Linked DNA regions of Lytechinus pictus. The protein of the gene in region 2 purifies or fractionates together with the protein of the main gene of each other region. This does not show direct contact. Links are inferred from orthologs where the notes say so. Each region holds a gene or a part of one and is shown on either strand. Other genes may lie near its edges.

Region 1 (7,230 bases), on a different chromosome or scaffold from region 2:
GGCAGATTGAGAGACAGGGCCATCTTTCATTGCTAGGTTGAATACTAGTGCCGACGGGTTAAATACTAGTGCCAAACACCATCGCCGTATAATTCGATCGCCCGCGCACACAGTCGACGGGTTGAAGAAAAAAATAACGGAAAAAGAATAACGGAAAAAGAATAACCAGCATTTGCTCTTGAAAATAAGACGGGTCTGAAATTCAGGTAAATTTTATATTTCTATATATTTGAGGAAACTCTCCAAACGGGTTGAATACTAGTGCCCTTACGGTACTGGTAATTCTTTAAAAATACACACATCCGTCTCTGAATCACTTTAAGCTGATCTAACCCTACAAATGTACGGTACACTTGGTTCAAATTCCTCAGTTTACCAATACATAATTCTGATTAAAAAGCGATGTGGTTATTGTTCGTTTTGGGCCTATTTCACGCCATAGTAGTCTCATCAGTGGTGAGACGCTTGGTGGTGAGAACTCAAAGGTAGAGAAACTGTTACATGTAGGTAATTAAATAAAAGAATAAATACAGGAGCTTTACCTCTGCAAACTCAAACTCTACAAAAGCAAAACCTCTGTGCTTTTCAGTCTCATAGTCAAGGGGGATTTGTATGTCCATGATATCGCCAAAAGGAATGAAGGCTGCATGAAGCGTCTTCTCTGTTACCTCTTCTGCCAATCCTCCTAGAATCCGAAGAAATGATAGTTGATACATGATTAACAAATTGCTATGGGTTTGGAATGTAGCCTTATCACAACTAATAATAATATTAATAATATAGGATTTCATTTGTATAGCGCACGTATCCACCTTGCTAGGTGCTCAAGGCGCTCCTATATTACCCCGGCTAAGCTAGTCTACCAATTCTGGTGCGCACGGCTTTTTGAGGAATTACTTCCTGCCGGTACCCATTTACCTCACCTGGGTCGAGTGCAGCAGTGTGGATTTAATTTCTTGCTGAATATCAGATAGAGTTCACGGTCTCGAAGTTCGGGTAGGTGGACCGTAGTGTAGTGGTAGTGAAGTGGAGTGGAGCCTGCACGAACTTAGCTCGAGGTACATGGGCGTTAGATTGTGCTGTTGCCGTGTTGGGCATGTGCACAAATAGTCATGCGTGAATTTGCCCCAAGTGTTCTTGCATATTATATTTTGAGTGGTTCGTTTAGCGGTATCTTAACATTTTCTGGCAGCCGAGACCGAGTTGATGGTCTATCAATGTGACATGTTTCCATGGCTCCTCCGAGAGGCTCAACACAGTCCCAGGGTAGCGAGCATGGTGAGGGACCATTTCTTCTGTGTATTTTTTTGGCACATAACCACAATCTAGTTTGCTATTTTTCCAGAAGTTATAGGGAATTTGTGTAACTTTTAAGTAATTTTTATTATGTTTTAGCCTTGAAGATCATTTTTAATTTATGTGTTTTTAAATGAAGAATTAAGAGCTTTCTAAATTTTGTGGTCCTTGCTAAAAAAATCTTGACAAACTCACTCATTCAATTAACAAGGTTATGATATAACCTTGTTCTCAGTTACATCTCCATGTTGTGTGGCAAAAATAAGGTAGTGCCACTAGTGGCAATTTTGGATTATTTTCTCTTTTTCTATGGGACAAATGCTTGTTTTTTTTACACTGTCAGTTTCCAATACAGCTATTCATCATATAACTTGGCTCTTATGTAAATTTGATTCTTTAAATCATTTTTTCTTAATCAAAAATAGAGATTGAAAAATGAAAAATTTCTTGCCATGTTAGTTACTTTCCACCAATAGAGGGCTTACACAAAAATATGCTCAAAATTCAAGTTTTTGAGCACTCTGGTGAAAAAAAACAATTATTCCCACGTTACTAATGAAAAATAAATTGCAACTGTATGAAAATTAGTAATTTTGGTCACAAAAGTGATATTTTAATGATTTTTTTAAGTATGTGCTATGTACAGCATTGGCATACCATAGACTAGTTCTACCCACTTGTTCACTGCAACCACCCTGCCTGTGGGGAATCTACAGGTTGGACTATGGCATGCCAATGCTGTACAGAGCACACACTTTAAAAAATGATTAAAATTTCACTTTTGTGACCAAAATTACTAATTTCCATACAGTTGCAATTTCTTTTTCATTTGTAACTTGGGAATAATTTGTATTCACTAGAGCGCTCAAAAACTTGAATTTGGGGCATATTTTTGTGCACGCCCTCTATTGGTGGAAAATAATAATATGGCAAGAAAATTTTCATTTTTTAATCTCTATTTTTAATTAAGAAAAAAATAATTTTAAGAATCAAATTTACTTAAGGGCCAAGTTGTATGACGAATAGGTGCAATGGAAACTGTCGGTGTAAAAAAAATCAAGCATTTGTCCCAAAGAAAAAGAGAAAATAAGCCAAACATTGCCATCCTTATTTTGCCACACACATGACATGGAGATATAACTGACAACCACTAGGTTATATCATAACCTTGTTCATTGAATGAGTGGTTCTACCTGTAGATTCCCCACACTCCACAGGCAGGATGGTTGCAGTGAGCCAGTGAGCAAGTGGACAAACTCAAGTTTTTTTCAGGACAAGCAAACACACAAACCATCATATGGGACTACGTCTACGAATTAGTACACACGTATTTATTCTCAATTATATATTGCCATTTCATTTTCATAAGTAATGAAATAAATGAAAAAATATAGACGTCCCTTCGATCAATAGCAAAAATCATTGGGAAATGGATTAGAAACTCACCAACGTAAGCGATTCTCTTGGTATTTGTTGACGACATGACTGATTACGCTTCGTATCTCGCTCGATTGACTAGTAAACTACGGTAGGCACTTATGATCCAAGTTTGAAAGGAGACTCGTAAAATGACGTCAGTCTCGCCGATGAATATTCATTAGATCGTGGTCGTGCGTGTTCAATACACACTGCGTGCAGGCATGCAGATACTAGTAGTTATATGCGAGGAACTTTGGCTCCAGAGACAAGTTGTCAAATAACGTGTGTGTGTGTGCGTGTGTGTACCATCGGCTGGTAGTATGCCATGCTGTCTAAGACTTCAAACGCGTCGGAGAGAGTGCATGGCAATTCGGTAAAACGAAGTTTCCGATATAAAGAGATAATAAAATAACACTATGTACAGTACGCCCGGGGGGGCCACTTACATTGACGAGTGGATACCATGCGCGACCAAAAAAAACACGTAAAAAGGATGTATTTTTCAAGAGAGGGCACGTTACGTACGTAACGTGATAAGGGTGTCAAAAACACAAAAATATTGAAAAAAGGGTATCTATTTCCAGTACGTTGAGAGGCAAATGTCAGACTCAGATCAGGGGAGGCAGGAGTACAATCAGGTTTTTTTAAAGGGAAGAATAGTGTAGAATAAAAGGTATTATATATAGCCAAATGATCTAGGTGAGGGAAGTGAACAATGATGTTTTTTTAAAAAAAGAATGAATATACCTTACCTGAATATTATGGTGAAGCCAATTTAAAAGGAGGTGAGACAAGTTTCAATGGAGGTTTTAAAAAAGAATAAACTGTATTATGGTGAAGCCAATTTAAAAGGAGGTGAGGCAAGTTTTAATGGAGGTTTTTAAAAAGAATAAACTGTATTATGGTGAAGCCAATTTAAAAGGAGGTGAGGCAAGTTTCAATGGAGGTTTTTAAAAAGAATAAACTGTACTACAAATTATGGTGAAGCCAATTTAAAAGGAGGTGAGGCAAGTTTCAATTGAGGTTTTTAAAAAGAATAAACTGTACTACAAATTTAAAAGGAGGCGAGGCAAGTTTCAATGGAGGTTTTTAAAAAAGAATAAACTGTACTACAAATTATGGTGAAGCCAATTCAAAAGGAGGTGAGGCAAGCCTCAATGGAGGTTTTTGAAAAGAATAAACTGTATTATGGTGAAGCCAATTTAAAAGGAGGTGAGGCAAGTTTTAATGGAGGTTTTTAAAAAGAATAAACTGTATTATGGTGAAGCCAATTTAAAAGGAGGTGAGGCAAGTTTCAATGGAGGTTTTTAAAAAGAATAAACTGTACTACAAATTATGGTGAAGCCAATTTAAAAGGAGGTGAGGCAAGCCTCAATGGAGGTTTTTGAAAAGAATAAACTGTATTATGGTGAAGCCAATTTAAAAGGAGGTGAGGCAAGTTTCAATTGAGGTTTTTTAAAAGAATAAACTGTACTACAAATTTGAAAGGAGGTGAGGCAAGTTTCAATGGAGGTTTTTAAAAAGAATAAACTGTATTACAAGTTATGGTGAAGCCAATTTAAAAGGAGGTGAGGCAAGTTTCAATGGAGGTTTAAAAAGAAATAAACTGTACTACAAATTTAAAAGGAGGTGAGGCAAGTTTCAATGGAGGTTTATAAATAGAATAAACTGTACTACAAATTATGGTGAAGCCAATTTAAAAGGAGGTGAGGCAAGTTTCAATGGAGGTTTTTAAAAAGAATAAACTGTATTACAAGTTATGGTGAAGGCAATTTAAAAGGAGGCGAGGCAAGTCCGTTTTTAAAAAGAATAAACTACTACAAATTATGGTGAAGCCAATTTAAAAGGAGGTGAGGCAAGTTTTAATGGAGATTTTTAAAAAGAATAAACTGTACTACAAATTTGAAAGGAGGTGAGGCAAGTTTCAATGGAGGTTTTTAAAAAGAATAAACTGTACTACAAATTATGGTGAAGCCAATTTAAAAGGAGGTGAGGCAAGCCTCAATGGAGGTATTTAAAAAGAATAAACTGTATTATGGTGAAGCCAATTTAAAAGGAGGTGAGGCAAGTTTCAATGGAGGTTTTAAAAAAAGAATTAACTGTACTACAAATTATGGTGAAGCCAATTTAAAAGGAGGTGAGGCATACATATGTAATGTCTTTCAAGCTGTATGACAAAAATATTCTTTTCCATCCAACATCAGCTTCTACTATTTTTTAAGGTTAGTTTTTATTGTCATGTTGGCAAATTGTGAAATAGTTCATGTTGAAATTACCTGTCATGCATTTGTAATGTTATTTTTTTAGAATATATTCTGTCATCATTTTCAGTACATAAAAGTTTATTCAATGTATGCCTTTACCAAAGTTGGCCATAAGCACAGTGGGTACCAACTATCACTGAAGACAACACAACAATTACTCAAAATATATGCATAGCCTTATGAATGTACAAGTCAATAAAATCTACTATGACTACATAGCTTTTTTTTGTGCAACACAGTCATATTTCATTTGGATCAATTCAAAATTGAGTGGTGTTTTGGGGGTAATGATATGGTAACTGCAGTTCTGTTGTCCTCTGACAGTTGGTGTTGTAAGGATGTGATTGGCAGTGTGTGGACGTCATGTTATAAGAGAAAAAAGTTAAAGTGAGAGTGTTGGCTTTGAAATGGACTCAACCTATGAAAGTTAAAGTTTGTGCTGCAGAAACTGGTGTGGTAGTAGGATGATAATGATGATGAGGAACAGGGCCGGTATTCAATGCTACTCTTAAAGCCACAATTTCAAGTATATTTTACTCAGTATTTTGCAAAAGTAAAATACTTATCCATCTTTGGTATTCAATTGCATTTTTTTTGGGCTAAATATTTTGCTTAAATGTAAGTCAGCCATCTACTAGACTTAAGTCTACATATACAAAAATGATACGCACAGAAATACATTCACACATTTGGCACTATTTGGCTCAAAATTTATAACATCACAATGGGTATTAGTATTTAGTTCAATTTGGATAAGGTAAATTCTGAGATCTGATCTGCATACAAGTTTAAGCATTTTGATAAGCCAGCCAAATTGCTAAGTAAAATACTTACAAAATAAAAACTTAGAATTTAATAGGCGGCCGAGGTATTATTTTCTTCCAGAGGACATGTACAGATTTCTTGTTGACAAAGGATGACATGATGATTATTTTGCAAATATGGCTTATTAAAAAATATATTATGTATATTCCATTTCAGTGACAATTGCATTTTTGGGGAGGGGATATTACGTATTTGGGAATGGAAAAGTTCAAAATTAATGCAAACTTAACCTATTTACGCAGGGGGGGGGGGGGGGCTCTGAGCTCTGCGATTTAAAAAAAAAAGTCTTTTGCATGTTTTGAGACCAGTTTTGCGAAGCCCGGGTACTGGGTTCTGAAAATTACCAAACAATTTGTAAGTGCATATCAGACAAAAATGGCTCAAAATTGTGATATTTGTGTACCACGTCAATGGAATATGCGTTTTCAACCAAAATTCATGAATGCCTAATTGTTTTTAGTTTTGTTGAACTAAACTGATTTATTTTATGCTGTTACGAGAGTCCGAGCATCGTTGAAAAATAACAATGCAATACAAAGGTAAAAACACAAGAAATACATTATCGAAGAACACCACAAAGAGTTTCTAAACCAAAAATTAGAACATTTGGAGCTTTATTTAGGGAGTTAGAGGAATAGGTATAGTATACTAATTATGCACAAATGAGCATAATCAATTAATAGCAATTTGCATGAAATAAATAACTACACAATTTTGTGGATTATTAAAAGCAATTGCGAACTTTCTCTTCACTATTCATTGTTTTTAGAAACCTCATTGAAAACTTGCCTCATGCACCTCTCAAGATGGCTTCATCATTTGAATTATATTCTACACTTATCATTCTTTAAAAAAAATCATTGTAGACATATGCCTCACCTCCTCTCAAATTGCCTTCACCATAACTTGTAATACAGTTTATTCTTTTTAAAAACCTCCATTAACTAATTACCTCACCTCCTTTTAAATTGGCTTCACCATAATTTGTAATACAGTTTATTCTTTTTAAAAACCTCTATTGAAACTTGCGTCGCCTCCTTTTAAATTTGTAGTACAGTTTATTCTTTTTTAAAAACCTCCATTGAAACTTGCCTCACCTCTTTTTAAACTGGCTTCACCATAATACAGTTTATTCTTTTTAAAAACCTCCATTAAAACTTGCCTCACCTCCTTTTAAATTGGCTTCACCATAATACAGTTTATTCTTTTTAAAAACCTCCATTAAAACTTGCCTCACCTCCTTTTAAATTGGCTTCACCATAATTTGTAGTACAGTTTATTCTTTTTTAAAAACCTCCATTGAAACTTGCCTCGCCTCCTTTTAAATTTGTAGTACAGTTTATTCTTTTTAAAAACCTCAATTGAAACTTGCCTCACCTCCTTTTAAATTGGCTTCACCATAATTTGTAGTACAGTTTATTCTTTT
Region 2 (7,146 bases):
ATTTATAAATAATGATTGTTTTTCATTATTTATAAATAATTTGTTGAGTTTTCTATTATTTATAAATAATGATTATTTGTTAAATAATGAAAACGTCTACTTCATTATTTATAAATAATTTTTTCGAGTGCACCATTATTCTCATTATTTATAAATAATCATTATTTAATGTTCGAGTTTTCCATTATTTATAAATAAAGATTATTTGTTAAATAATGAAATATCTACTTCATTATTTATAAATAATAATTTTGTTTCAATATCCCATTAATCATTATTTATAAACAATTTTTACAGTTTGCCATTATATACAAATAATCATTATTTATATACAAATAACCATTATTTATTAAATAATGCCATTATTTATTAAATAATGCCATTATTTATTAAATAATGCCATTATTTATTAAATAATGGAAAACTCGCTATAACATGCAAATGTGGGACCGCCCATGATATGAATATTCATGATGCGATTTCCTTTTTCGTGATTTTTCTTCACAAATTTTTGTCCATTTCCTCTTCATAATGACATTTCTTGAAGCAATTTTCTAGGGATATGGTCTGATTGTAATATTCTTCATTTTCTATATAACTTCGTCTTCGTAGAAATATCAAAAAGTGTAATTTTATACGATTTTTCCTACAGTTCACAATCCCCATAGGCGCGCGTGTACGGTAGGGACAACCGGTGAATCGACGGAGTGCTCTTCATCGAAATACTACGTTGGTTGGTCCCCGGAAGTGGCGGGCGGAATTTAGCCCGAATCCTCGATGGAAGTCGATCAAGTGCATATGAGCTGAGAGAGTGAAATATCAGTGTACTTGTACAGGCCCTTCTACTTTTTATAAATATTTCTTGTTGCTTTTTTTGTTAAGTTAATTTTTCCTGGTGTAGAGATAAGTTTCAGTTCTAATAATGCACTTCAAATACATTTTGGAGTGTCTGTTTGAGGCGTTTGGGGCGATTTCACCCTGGCCCCAAAATGCTCGCAACGACAATACGGGGGCATGATGACCCCTAAATTTTAAAAAACTTATTTTTCTATTGAAAATTATCACAAAATTCACCAAAAGTGTGCACGAAAGCCTTCGTATTTCACTTTTAAAACTCCAAAAGTGCCCAAATGACAAGCTTGGTCGCTTCGCTGTGTCGCTTTCAACTTGAGAACGTTTACGCGTCTGCTTCGATATCCCCCCCCCCCCTCCTCCGAAAGAAATTCTGTATACGGCCATGCTCTAAAGAGCCTGGCACATTGATTTATGTATACTTTCATTTTCATTATTTTTATCTCATTATCAACATGGCCTTACGCATAATTTTTTCCAGGGGGGCCGGGGCCGGAGCATGACGTACGCGCGTAAACTTTCTCATAAAAATCTTGAAAAAGCGAAGCGACCAAGCTTGTCATTTGAGCTTGGTCGCGTCGCTGTCTCGCTTTCAAGATTTTTTTGAGAAACTTTACGCGTGTCCTAGCTGCTCCCCCCCCCCCCCCCGGTAAAAATTCTGTGTAAGGCCATGATGATAATGTGATAAAAATAATGAAAATGAAAAGTACATATAAATCAATGTGCCATATGCTCTTTTGAGCATGGCCGTTCACAAAATTGTTTTCGGGGGGTGGGGGCAGACGCGCGTAAACGTTCTCAAGTTGAAAGCGAGACAGCGAAGCGACTAAGCTTGTCATTTGGGCTTGGTCCCGTGGCTGTCTCGCTTTCAAGATTTTTTTGAGAAAGTTTACGCGCGTCATGCTCCGGCCCCGGCCCCCCTGGAAAAAATTATGTTATACCGAGGTTGTTTTACCTGACTGCTAAGAAAGCACGAATGCCTGTGAGCAAGCAACCAGTGGACCAACGGCTTAAGGTCCTCTCCGAGGGACCTGGTAATGAGGATAAATGCCTTACCAAAGGGCACTAGCGCACCACTTGGGAATCGAACCCGGGTCACCGGAATCCGAAACCCCCGCTCTACCGACTGAGCTATCGCGCCTCCCTCATGCGTAAGGCCATGTTGATAATGAGATAAAAATAATGAAAATGAAAGTATACATAAATCAATGTGCCAGGCTCTTTAGAGAATGGCCGTATACAGAATTTCTTTCGGAGGAGGGGGGGGGGGATATATCGAAGCAGACGCGTAAACGTTCTCAAGTTGAAAGCGACACAGCGAAGCGACCAAGCTTGTCATTTGGGCACTTTTTGGAGTTTTAAAAGTGAAATACGAAGGCTTTCGTGCACACTTTTGGTGAATTTTGTGATAATTTTCAATAGAAAAATAAGTTTTTTTAAATTTAGGGGTCATCATGCCCCCGTATTGTCGTTGCGAGCATTTTGGGGCCAGGGTGAAATCGCCCCAAACGCCTCAAACAGACACTCCAAAATGTATTTGAAGTGCATTATTAGAACTGAAACTTATCTCTACACCAGGAAAAATTAACTTAACAAAAAAAGCAACAAGAAATATTTATAAAAAGTAGAAGGGCCTGTACAAGTACACTGATATTTCACTCTCTCAGCTCATATGCACTTGATCGACTTCCATCGAGGATTCGGGCTAAATTCCGCCCGCCACTTCCGGGGACCAACCAACGTAGTATTTCGATGAAGAGCACTCCGTCGATTCACCGGTTGTCCCTACCGTACACGCGCGCCTATGGGGATTGTGAACTGTAGGAAAAATCGTATAAAATTACACTTTTTGATATTTCTACGAAGACGAAGTTATATAGAAAATGAAGAATATTACAATCAGACCATATCCCTAGAAAATTGCTTCAAGAAATGTCATTATGAAGAGGAAATGGACAAAAATTTGTGAAGAAAAATCACGAAAAAGGAAATCACATCATGAATATTCATATCATGGGCGGTCCCACATTTGCATGTTATATAGCGAGTTTTCCATTATTTAATAAATAATGGCATTATTTAATAAATAATGGCATTATTTAATAAATAATGGCATTATTTAATAAATAATGGTTATTTGTATATAAATAATGATTATTTGTATATAATGGCAAACTGTAAAAATTGTTTATAAATAATGATTAATGGGATATTGAAACAAAATTATTATTTATAAATAATGAAGTAGATATTTCATTATTTAACAAATAATCTTTATTTATAAATAATGGAAAACTCGAACATTAAATAATGATTATTTATAAATAATGAGAATAATGGTGCACTCGAAAAAATTATTTATAAATAATGAAGTAGACGTTTTCATTATTTAACAAATAATCATTATTTATAAATAATAGAAAACTCAACAAATTATTTATAAATAATGAAAAACAAATAATCATTATTTATAAATAATGAAAAACAAATAATCATTATTTGTAAATAATGAAAAACAAATAATCATTATTTATAAATAATGAAAAACCAATTATCATTATTTATAAATAATGAAAAACAAATAATCATTATTTATAAATAATGAAAAACAAATAATCATTATTTATAAATAATGAAAAACAAATAATCATTATTTATAAATAATGGAATGTCGAACTATTATTATTTACAAATAATGAAGTATTACTTGGAATTATATATAAATAATTAGAAATGATATTTTATATAATAGTAGTTATTTACAAATAAAATGTAAATTATATATAAATAATAGTTATTATTTAATAAATAATGATTATATAACAAATAATTGTTCTATATAATATTGGTACATTCGGCGCCTCATAGTTGTTGTGTGTCCGGACGATCAATTTTAGAAAGTCATTTGGAACAATTTACAAGGGAAGTTTTATCAATTTTTAGTACAAAATGTCAGGAAATATTATAAAGAACCAAATAGAAGATGATTACAACTATTGATTTCGTATTTTTAGTGTAATCCAAAGACAAAAAAGAAGGCTTCAAAAATATAAAGTGTCCGGACACCCGACCCCCCATCCTACTAACGTAAAATAATATGCTTTGATCCAATTGATCCTTATACAAAAAATCCAAAGTTAGCCTTACAGGGGCCGCTGAACGGGGAGTGGGAAAATAGCATTTTACAGTACGAGAGCAGCCATGTACAGAAATGTGAAAATTGAACACCAAATTTTGTGTATTAACCCCCTGCTAGCTCTCTCCGCATATTTTTTCCTCCGTTCTAACTTTGGACTTATGCTGGCGCCCTTGACGTTACCGCACCGTTCGTAGACAAAATGGCAGCCTCCAGTGGGAAAAAGAAGGTAGATCTTCGGGAGTTAATGAGACAGCAAAAGGCTGCAAAGCAAAGCAGTGTCAAGAGAATTGAATCACCATTAGCAAAATATCCTTTAAAATAGTATTTCAGGCAAGAAATTAATAAATTCGGCCATTGTCAGAGCTAAAGCCTCGAGTTATTTTACTGTCTTGAATTATTGTAGTCCCATGTTATTAAGTTTACGTTGGTCATTTGATTGGCGTTTACTCAAAACGGTTTAGGTAGGGACACTCACACGTATTGCGAGGTTAGTATTACTATTAGTATAGGTAGGGAGTTCGGTGATTTTTTTAAAATCTTGAAGAATCCCAACAAATTTGATATCATTGGAAAGCTTGTGAAATAAGAAAAATAATGGTGCTTCATTTAACTCATTGTCTGATATATTGACGGAGATATTCCAATTTACAGGGGAAAATATGCAGATTTTGTTCTGTCAAATTTTTTTTAAAGGCTTGTTTGAGTGGGGGAGACAGTTGCTTTTTGAAATCTTGAAGGAATCCCAACAAATTTGGTACCAATGGAATGCTTGTGAAATAAGAAAAAGAATGGTGCATAAATCGACTCATGATGACAAATATTGACAGAGATATTTCTGTTTAAACGGTAGAATGTGCAGATTTTATTTACAGCAAAAAGTAGATTTTCATAACTTACACAAAATGCAATGAATGGGACTGTGCAATACTTTTTTAAAAAGTGCAATGCGCTGCTTTGCGGGGCAAGGCATTCCCTTGAATTATACATCATTTTATTCATTAAACTTCAAAGTTTCTCATGGTATAGGTTTCTATAGGGTTTTTCCTCCTCCTTTAAATTTAATGGCTTCATATTTGTTTTGTACATGGGTGCACAGACAGATACAAATTCTGAAAGTGGCATTTTCACCGAACTCCCTAGTTTAGGTTTGACTATTAATATTAGTTTAGGGTCTAGTATTAGTCTTAACTTGGTGAATTCGCTGCTATTTTTGTTTTACTCGAGAAAGGCATGCATCGTATTGCCAAATTCCTTGTTGTGTTCAGCTGCCATAAAATTTAAATCGGCCAGTGCAACTCAAGGCTAAGCAAATATTTATTTACTTAGTCTTAGCCCAGCCCGGCCCAGTCTCTTTTTATTATTATTTTACTGTCCGAATAATCTAGAGAAAGTTTCTATCTGATACCTGTCTGGTCAAAACACAAAAATTTAGATCCTCTAAATCTATTTTCTTTTGTATAAATTCACAATTGATCAGCTTTATGAAACCCCTACCCAGGTCTAGTTGATCTTGATGGATGGATAAAATGATAGAGTAGTAAATGTAAATATTGTTGGTCATGTTACTTAGTCTTAGTGCAAAGAAAGTTGCAAAATTTAGTTTTATTTCAAATTAATAATTTAAAAGTTAGGAACAGTTACTCCTGCAAGTTTTCATCACGTTTACTAGGGACCATGATATTGTGATATAATTTGGGGTATTATAAGAGATGATAGTTATGGGATGATCAAAATAATATTATCATTGTCAATGAATATGACAGAAATAGAAGAAAGATCTTGGCAATTACAATTTCGATTTATGGAATTACATCCAGGCATTCACTAAGACACAATTCAGGGGATCCAGTTGTAAAATTATTGTGAAAAATCAATGTTTTGAACAGACTACAGAGTTGCAGTTGTAATGCTATTTTGTGATTGAAATGGTCATAGCTTGCGAGTTTTTGTTTATTTTGTTCTGGATATCTGATAAAGGTCAAACTTAATGTTTTGTTAAGAACTAAATAATTCCTTAACACTGACATACGTATAACAACCTTGGTCAGTTAATCTGTGTAGTTTGTAATCAGCAGGTGAAGAATGAAATACTGTGGACAGCTCATATTCAAGGAAAGAAACATAAAGATGTAAGTAATATATATTCTACATAATTTGTATTTCTCCACCTCCTTTTTCTTCCCCATCTCCTTTCTATTTTGTATCATCACCTTCACTATTTTTTCTTGATTATAATTACAAATAATTTGTTTTTTCACCCCATGACAGGATTATTCATCATTCTCTCTTTTTTTTTTACTTGAGGCTTTTCATGATTCATTAGTCAAGAAACAATTCCTCTTTTATATGCATAAAGTTTCATGAACATAGTTGCAGTCAGTGTGCTCTTTAATATAAGTTCAAACTGATTCCTTTTTGTCTCACCTGCATAGCAGTGTGAGACTATAGGCACCACTTTTTTTATGGCGACGGCGTCAACACCAAAACTTAACCAAAGGTTAAGTTCTTGTTATGACAGCATAACTTAGAAAGTATATGGACCTAGTTCATGGAACTTAGACATAAGGCTGATCAAATATTACTGAACATTTGCCAGAGTTTTAAGTCACATGACCAAGGTCAAACGTCATTTAGGGTCAATGAACTTTAGCCAAGTTGGGGTTATCTGTTGAATTACCATCTTATCTTTTATAGTTTATGGATCTGATTCATGAAACTTGGACATAAGAGTAATCAAGTGTCACTGAATATCATGTGTGAGTTTCAGTTCACATGATCAAGGTCAAAGGTCATTTAAGGTCATTGAACTGTGGCCAAGTTGGGGGGTATTTGCTGAATTACCATCATAACTGAAAGTTTATGGATCTGATTCATGAAACTTGGACATAAGAGTAATCAAGTATCACTGAACATCCTGTGCGGGTTTCAGGTCACATGACTAAGGTCAAAGGTCAATGAACTTTGGCCATGTTGAGGGTATCTGTTGAATTACCATCATAACTTTGAAAGTTTATGGATCTGATTCATGAAACTTGGACATAAAGAGTAATCAATTATCACTGAACATCCTGTGCGAGTTTCAGGTCACATGACCAAGGTCAAAGGTCAATGAACTTTGGCCATGTTGGGGGTACGTGTTGAATTACCATCATAAC
Region 3 (7,136 bases), on a different chromosome or scaffold from region 2:
TCCATCCTTCTGGTCTTCCCTGAAATTACCTTTTTTTTTGTTTTAGTTACTTCTTTTTTAAATCCCGTTTATCTTTCTCACCCATTTTCTATCACTCCTTTTCTTTCTTTTTTCTATTTCTCCCTCTCCCGTTTATACCTTTACATTCATTTCTTTCTCATTTACTTTCCATTCTCATTTTCTTTTTACGTCTCCTATATTCTTCTTTTATTTGCCTTTTTCCCTCTCTTTCTTTCAATTTTCGGTAGTTAGGTGGCCTTTCCGACTAAAACTTTTCACAGCAAGACATAATTATAGGGAGATATTCATTGATGTATCAAAATGAGGTGAGAAGAAAATTAAGGGAAAATTTGACATTGAGGGTATATCATACACTCTTAAAAATGTTGGGCAACATACGGTCCACACAACAATTGGTTAAAACTTTATCCAATTCTGGGTAGTTTTACACCAATACTGTGTAGTTTTCACCCAAAGCACACATTATTGGTGTAAAACTACCCAGAATTGGATAAAGTTTTAACCAATTGTTGTGTGGACCGTATGTTGCCCAACATTTTTAAGAGTGTAAGGACTCGCATGCTAGCTTTACGAAAAACAAATAAACTTTATTAGTCATTAGACTATTTTTAACCTTTCAGCAAAGTTAATTATGTACATTCAAAATATAAAACAATAACAAGATATATTTTACAGTTGAATTTAAACAATTTATTCGACCAATGCATGCTATTCATGTCAGTATTGCGGCAAAATATTACATTAGGGACAATTTATGCATTATTAATAACATGGTCAATATTACTGCACTTGGCAAGAATCATAACAGCAATTAAAAGGTTTTTTGGGTTTGAGAGTTCGTGAGTTCATTCAGTCAGTGCCTAGAAGTTGATGCAGAAGACATATACGGATGATAACCCATTGGTGTGTAGAAAGAAGACGGTGTTCGGTGAAGATACTCAGCGCTAGAGGGAGAAGGAGAGTGACTGCTACGAGAGAGAGAGTCTACTGACGCCAATGCAGTGGCGTAACAGGCGGGGGGGGGGGCAGGGGGGGGGGTAAGCTGCCCCCCTGGCGGAGCTCACCGGGAAAATAAAAAAAAAACGGGAAAAAGAAAAAAAGGGAGGAAGAAAGGGAAAGGGAAAGGAAAGAAAAGAAAAAAGGGGAAAGGGAAAGGAAAAGGGAAAAGAAAACTAAGAAAAAAACATAAAAAAGGGAAAACGGAAAGATAACGGGAAAAGGAAGGAAAAAAGAACAAGTGAGAAAAAACAATTCGCCCCGATATAATACAGTAGCATGATTAGTAAGACAGGGAAATAAATTAAAGATGACAAAAAGGCAAACAAAAGCGGGAAATAAAGGCCCCTATATGGACCCTTCCTGCATTAAGCTTTACGTTGAAACACTGGCATACCGGGGGGGGGGGAAATAAAAGAAAATAAAGGAGGCAGCGAAATTAGATGAATGAAAAAAATATATGACATGATATTTGCTATAATGATGTAAAAATCTATCACATAATTAGAATTTCATTTTAACAGGCCTTTTTTTTATTGGCTCGCTTCGCTCGCTGGCGACTTTTTACAAATTTTCCCACATTTGCTATGGTGTGCCCCTCACAATATGTGGATGATTACGATACACAACTGCATTGAATTTATGTGTTGTGTTAAAGCTTTATAAATATACACGCAATTTGATTAAAATAAGTGGCCATCTGCAAGGTTTATGGCTTTGATATCAAGAGGTTCCGGGGTTCTACCCTGGACCCCACCATAAAGCACTGTTATATGGATGAGTTGGACCATGGCCCCCAAAAGTTCTACAACGAAACAAAAAAAAAATGAGGAAAGAAAGGAAAGTGTATTATATTTTTCTGAATATCACGTTAAAATCTATCTTCATGTTAGATTCTCATGAAAAGGTGATTTTTTTTATCTCGCTCGCTTCGCTCCCCCGGACCTATATTAAGCTACTTCTTGCCAGAAGCGCCATACTCGGCCCCCTCGAGCATATAGAGCTTCGCCCTGATGCTCACAATCATAACAAAAATCCTGTTCACCGTGGCGTACAAAAAAGAGAGAAAAAAGGAAAAAGAGGAGGGTGAAATAATTATGATATCATCTTTTTAACATTATGTCAAAATCTATCACAAAATTGGATTTTTGCAATAAAAATGTATAAAAATTTTGCTCGCTCGCTTATATATATATATATATATATATATATATATTGGCCCGATATGCCATATCGCCCCCTCAAAATTTTTGCCTTATGACGCCATTGCCTGTTCCATGATATGACCGGGACATTTTTGGCTCTTGCCCCCCCTTGGCCACCGACCCCTGTTACGCTGCTGCATCAATGGACTGGTGGCGCCTTTCGTTGAGTCACGTGATGTCGTGCAGTGGAGCTGAGTGACGCCATGACATTGAAGATGTGGGTCCAATGAAACTGTCGTTGACTCTGACGTCGATCGACTGCTTTCAGCGAGAAAGTCGACAGAGAACTTGGATGACACGACGCCCAACTTCTTTGTAGGTGGTGTCGTCTGGTTGACCTCATCGGCGTCGCATGGTGTCTTCCGCTCTTTCAATTTTTGGTAATTAGGTGGCCTTTTCGACTAAACTCTTTCACAGCAAGGCATAATTATAGGGAGATATTCATTAATGTATCAAAAAGATATGAGAAGAAAATTAAAGGAAAGGGATTTGACATTGTTGGTATATCATAAGGACTCGCATGCTTCCTTCGCGAAAAACAAATAAACTCTATTAATCATTAGACTCTTTCGAACCAATCAGCAAAGTTAATTATGTACATTCAAAATATAAAACAACAACAAGATATATTTTACAGTTGAATTTGAACATTTTATTCGACCAATGCTATTCACGTCAGTAGTGCGGCAAAATATTACATTAGGCGCCACCAGTCCATTGATGTCAGTAGAGTTTCTCTCTCGTAGCAGTCGCTCTCCTTCTCCCTCTAGCGCACTGACTGAATGAACTCTCGAACTCTCAAACAGAAAGGAACTTTCCATTGCTGTTAAAATAATATTCTTCTCAATTGCACTAATATTGGTCATATAATCATAATGCTCAAACTGTTCTTATAATGTTACAATTTGTAAAACTATTAAAACTAGCAGGAATGGCATTAGTCGAATAAATCGTTTGAATTCATTTATAAAAATATATCTTTTTTGATGTACATATTAATTATCTTTGCTTTAAGGTTGGAAAGAGGTGGGATTGATAAAATGTATGCCCTATTTATTTTTAAGTGAAGAGACGTTCTCACTACAAGTTTCCACTAAACTAGTTTCCACTGAACTAGTTTTAGGAAGGGAGTGAGAACGGTGTCTTATATAGTGCAGTAGAATATATAATTTAGATAATAGTTTCTGCGCTCTGAAATCTATAAATTTAGATCTATACTATTCATTTTATTTAAAATGTTATCACTCTCTTATCTTGCATCCAATTTTTTAATGAAATTTTCAGTTTTTTTCTGGGGTGCATGGACTTGACCTTTAAAATTAAATAACTTCGTTATTTGTTATCCGATTTTGATGATATTTTCAGAATTTTGCCCTGTGAATTTTACATTATTTATTGAGATATGAATACTTCCAGCCTGGACCATCCCTTTAAATCCCGAGCTGGGTTTTTCATTTGCGTTTCACACGGGATTTCAAAATCCCGAGGGGGTTTAAAATTCTTGGGTGAATTCGGGCCATAATGTTTATACACAAAGGAGTCGCTCGATCGCTCACTTACTTTTTGGTGTTGGTGTTGGTGTTGAAACTTTGGATTGCTTAATTCCCCCCCCCCCTCCCTTAGCTCCAAAATCTATTCTGAGTTTGTAAAACTGATCCAGATCACATTATTGACATCTCAACAACTAGTGAGTGACTTCTCGGCACCATCTTCATTTTATGTTTGGTGTTATAATCGTGTAAACATTGACCTAACAGGTTAACACCAACATCAAACGGTCAACACTGAACTCGAAGTCACCCATTGGCATTAATCCCGGGAGTATACCCCTCACCATTATTTTGATTCACATAACGCCAGCTACGGTAGCTTTTTTTAAACTATACGGTATGGTACGTAGGACGTAGAACTTAGATCATCATTAATAATACTTAGTGGAGAAAATCGACGCGGAACTCCGGAATTTTATTGAAATTTAATTTTTACCTTGTTCAAGTAGAGTCGATAAATCAAGATGGGGAAGAGACAACATCAGTCAGATAAGATGTGAGTATTGTATTTTATGGTTTTCCCCCTTTTCATCTGATTCTTTAATTCACGGTTTCTTTAGTTTAGGGCCCCTGGCACCTGCGGGTTTCTCCCATGTCACAACGCCGGTCTGGGCGGCGGAGTGCGTAGTAGAATCCCGTTGGCGTTGCTTGCTCTTGTACTGTAGGCGAAATTTCTGCCTGGCTGTTTCACTTTCAAACACAAACTGACAAAGCAGGTTGTGAATTGTGTGAAGGAGGTTGAGGGGGCTGGCGATGTCGCAAAAATGTACTGAAATTTAAAATGAAGAAATCTCTGGTTTTCTTCTGAAAATCTGCATTGACGATTGATCTGACCATGCTGACTGAGTTTGCGAACTTTCTAACAAATTGAAATTAAGGATTGTATCTTCAAAATGACAGCAACAAAAAACCCCACAGAAAATCTCCACCCCATTCAATTGATTGAATTTGCACAGAAATCAAGCCGACAGCATGCTATCGGTATTGCTAGCTAGTGCCATAGTGGGCACTCACAACATTGCAAGGTTAGTGCTATACCGTATACGAACCTTGCACAACCAACATGTTTTTGTAGAGTTGTCGTTAACATCGCTTCATAACGTGAATGATGTTAGCCGAAACCCATTCCGCTACTCACCAGGGCTTTTTCTGGTAGAAAGCGTTCCATTTTCAATTTTTAACATATTTTTTTAATTTAAAAAGGACACAAAAAAGAGCAAAATCGCTTACCTCCGCCTGGAAAGTGGCTTCGCACGTCTCTTCCACGGAAATAAAAGGAAGGTCGTTCGTGGCGCTAATACAGTTCACAACCTTAATTCAGCTTGGTGGTATTTTTAAAACTAGATTCATGATTCATTGTATGCGCAATTCCAATAATTGTTTGATAAAATAGAGACCCCAATAAATGCAATAACTTAAAAACCATGTCACTTTAGTACAAATGACCTTCCTCTGATCATGCGCAGAATCTTCTGATCATGCGCAGCTTGAAACAGCTTGAAAACAAACGGCATGACCAGTTATTTTTTTAACAGACATTTCATTAAAACAACTGATTCTTCCATTTGAATTTACAATAGAATGTTTCATGTTTATTTCTATACTAAAATTTATTGTTGAATATATGTTGTTGAAAATTTCCCTCCCCATAATAACGTTGATTACAAATATCCATTGATTTGATCGATTTGATGCAGCAACTTTGAGTATGCGGCATTGTAGGCCTTATAATATCATAACCACTTTACAGTGAACCATGTGATATTGTTACCCTGGCTGTACTTCACCTGGGAAACTCCAGATAACTTTGCCTGTTTTTTTTTCCTGTTTTAATAGAAAATCATCACTTTGGCCCATTTCATAAAAGATTTATGATGATGGTAACTTTACCTTTAAAACTATGTTCCGTGGTTACAGAGTTCAGCATCCTATCAAAACAAGATTTGCATTAATACCATAATGGCAAAAGTACCATCATCATAAATTTGTACGATGGGCCCCTGGAGTAGGATTCAACCTATTATCTTCTGATTGAAAGGCGAGTGTTGGAACCATTTCTATTACTTTAATAGTTTGCAAACTTCTTCTCACAATGAAACAGGTATCTGACCTCCAAGGAGTGGACGGCATTCTACGGTGGCAAGAAAACTGGTAAGAGAGATTGAAGTTTTCTCATCTCTATCCATCTTTATTCTCTGATCTTTTTAATGTTAGAAGACATTATAATAATCATAGAGTTGAGATGAATAGCAAAGAGGCAGATGGCACAATAATGAGCAGTAACAAGCTATCAACTTGGAACATGACATTTGGGTATTTATTTTTTTGTTCAGATAGGGTTCACCCCATGGTGGGTGCTAAAATTGCACCCTTTCCAACATCTGAAACCTTTAGCATAGATCTGGCAAGGGGGTTAGCATTGAAATTGCACCTAGAGCTCTGATATTTTTTCATGGTACACCAGTGCTTCTGAGGTTTGTGGATTAAACTTTCAAGGTATATATTTTTCTCTCTCTTTTTCTTCCCCTTTACTTTAACATTTTTTGCCTCCGACAAAGATTCTGCTAGGATCGAAAGCTTAGGCCCCTATTGACTTTCTAATTTACTCCATTGGCTCTCTTTTATTAGATAAGCAGTTTTCAGCAGCTTCTTTTTGCCATTTTTTGTACCCGTTAAAGTGATGCCATTGTAAGTTGTCCATCTAGTCCCCCTGATATACATTGTATACTCTTTATGAAAACTGAATAATTTTCTTTCTTATTTTAATGTTGTATCACAGAATCACAGAAATCTGAGTTTCGTAGATTACCATTTGATCATTGCAGGTATGTGATTTCATTCATTAGAAAATCTTAAAGAAGGGAATACATAGGAATTTTATAAAGTATTAGCTATATTTTCATATATAAGATTTTATACTTATTTCATTTCCTTATGTAAATTGAAGAGTTATTAATATATTTAAGCGCTTAGAGAAATTTTGTTAGGCGCTATGTAAGTATTGAATTATTATTATTATTATATCGTATTTAGTATTGTTTCATGGTTTGAAGTATTAATCATATGACAGGTCTTTTTTTTCAACCGTGCCGGGGGGGGGGGGCAGGCCTACATATGCACAAAATCTCAAAAACTTTTTCAAATAATAATAATTAAAAATTAAACAGTTGTATTTAATAAATGTACTTCTAAATTTTTTTGCACAAGATATGATTAAACGATTGTATTCTTATTCAAATAGTATTTACATTTTTTTCTTATATCCAAAGTCTATCCCTTCAGCCTTTTGAGCACCCCTACTGTACTTCAGATGGTATTATCTTTGATCTGATGAGTATTGTACCATTCATCAAAAAGTACAAGA

The links. Proteins that work in one complex are often made in the same cells at the same time.
Region 1: the proteins of zinc finger protein 830-like (region 2) and peptidyl-prolyl cis-trans isomerase E-like purify together in Homo sapiens (affinity purification with mass spectrometry; 3 studies listed by BioGRID and IntAct, counting the BioPlex papers as one, with this or other methods). This does not show direct contact. The link is inferred for Lytechinus pictus from reciprocal best matches to the Homo sapiens genes ZNF830 and PPIE.
Region 3: the proteins of zinc finger protein 830-like (region 2) and RING-type E3 ubiquitin-protein ligase PPIL2-like purify together in Homo sapiens (co-immunoprecipitation; 4 studies listed by BioGRID and IntAct, counting the BioPlex papers as one, with this or other methods). This does not show direct contact. The link is inferred for Lytechinus pictus from reciprocal best matches to the Homo sapiens genes ZNF830 and PPIL2.

Annotation. Positions count from the first base shown.
Region 1 is NC_087261.1:25,313,953-25,321,182, reverse strand, and holds the start of peptidyl-prolyl cis-trans isomerase E-like, read right to left. Parts: upstream 3,038-7,230; 5' UTR 2,780-3,037; coding exon 2,743-2,779; intron 686-2,742; coding exon 543-685; intron 1-542. UniProt on the Homo sapiens protein: Involved in pre-mRNA splicing as component of the spliceosome. Combines RNA-binding and PPIase activities.
Region 2 is NC_087247.1:42,396,136-42,403,281, forward strand, and holds the start of zinc finger protein 830-like, read left to right. Parts: upstream 1-4,146; 5' UTR 4,147-4,190; coding exon 4,191-4,297; intron 4,298-6,020; coding exon 6,021-6,120; intron 6,121-7,146.
Region 3 is NC_087246.1:20,479,531-20,486,666, forward strand, and holds the start of RING-type E3 ubiquitin-protein ligase PPIL2-like, read left to right. Parts: upstream 1-4,099; 5' UTR 4,100-4,236; coding exon 4,237-4,268; intron 4,269-5,873; coding exon 5,874-5,923; intron 5,924-6,551; coding exon 6,552-6,597; intron 6,598-7,041; coding exon 7,042-7,136. Other genes in the region: uncharacterized protein LOC129283664, read right to left, coding at 875-1,005, 2,344-2,589, 3,633-3,648. UniProt on the Homo sapiens protein: Has a ubiquitin-protein ligase activity acting as an E3 ubiquitin protein ligase or as an ubiquitin-ubiquitin ligase promoting elongation of ubiquitin chains on substrates.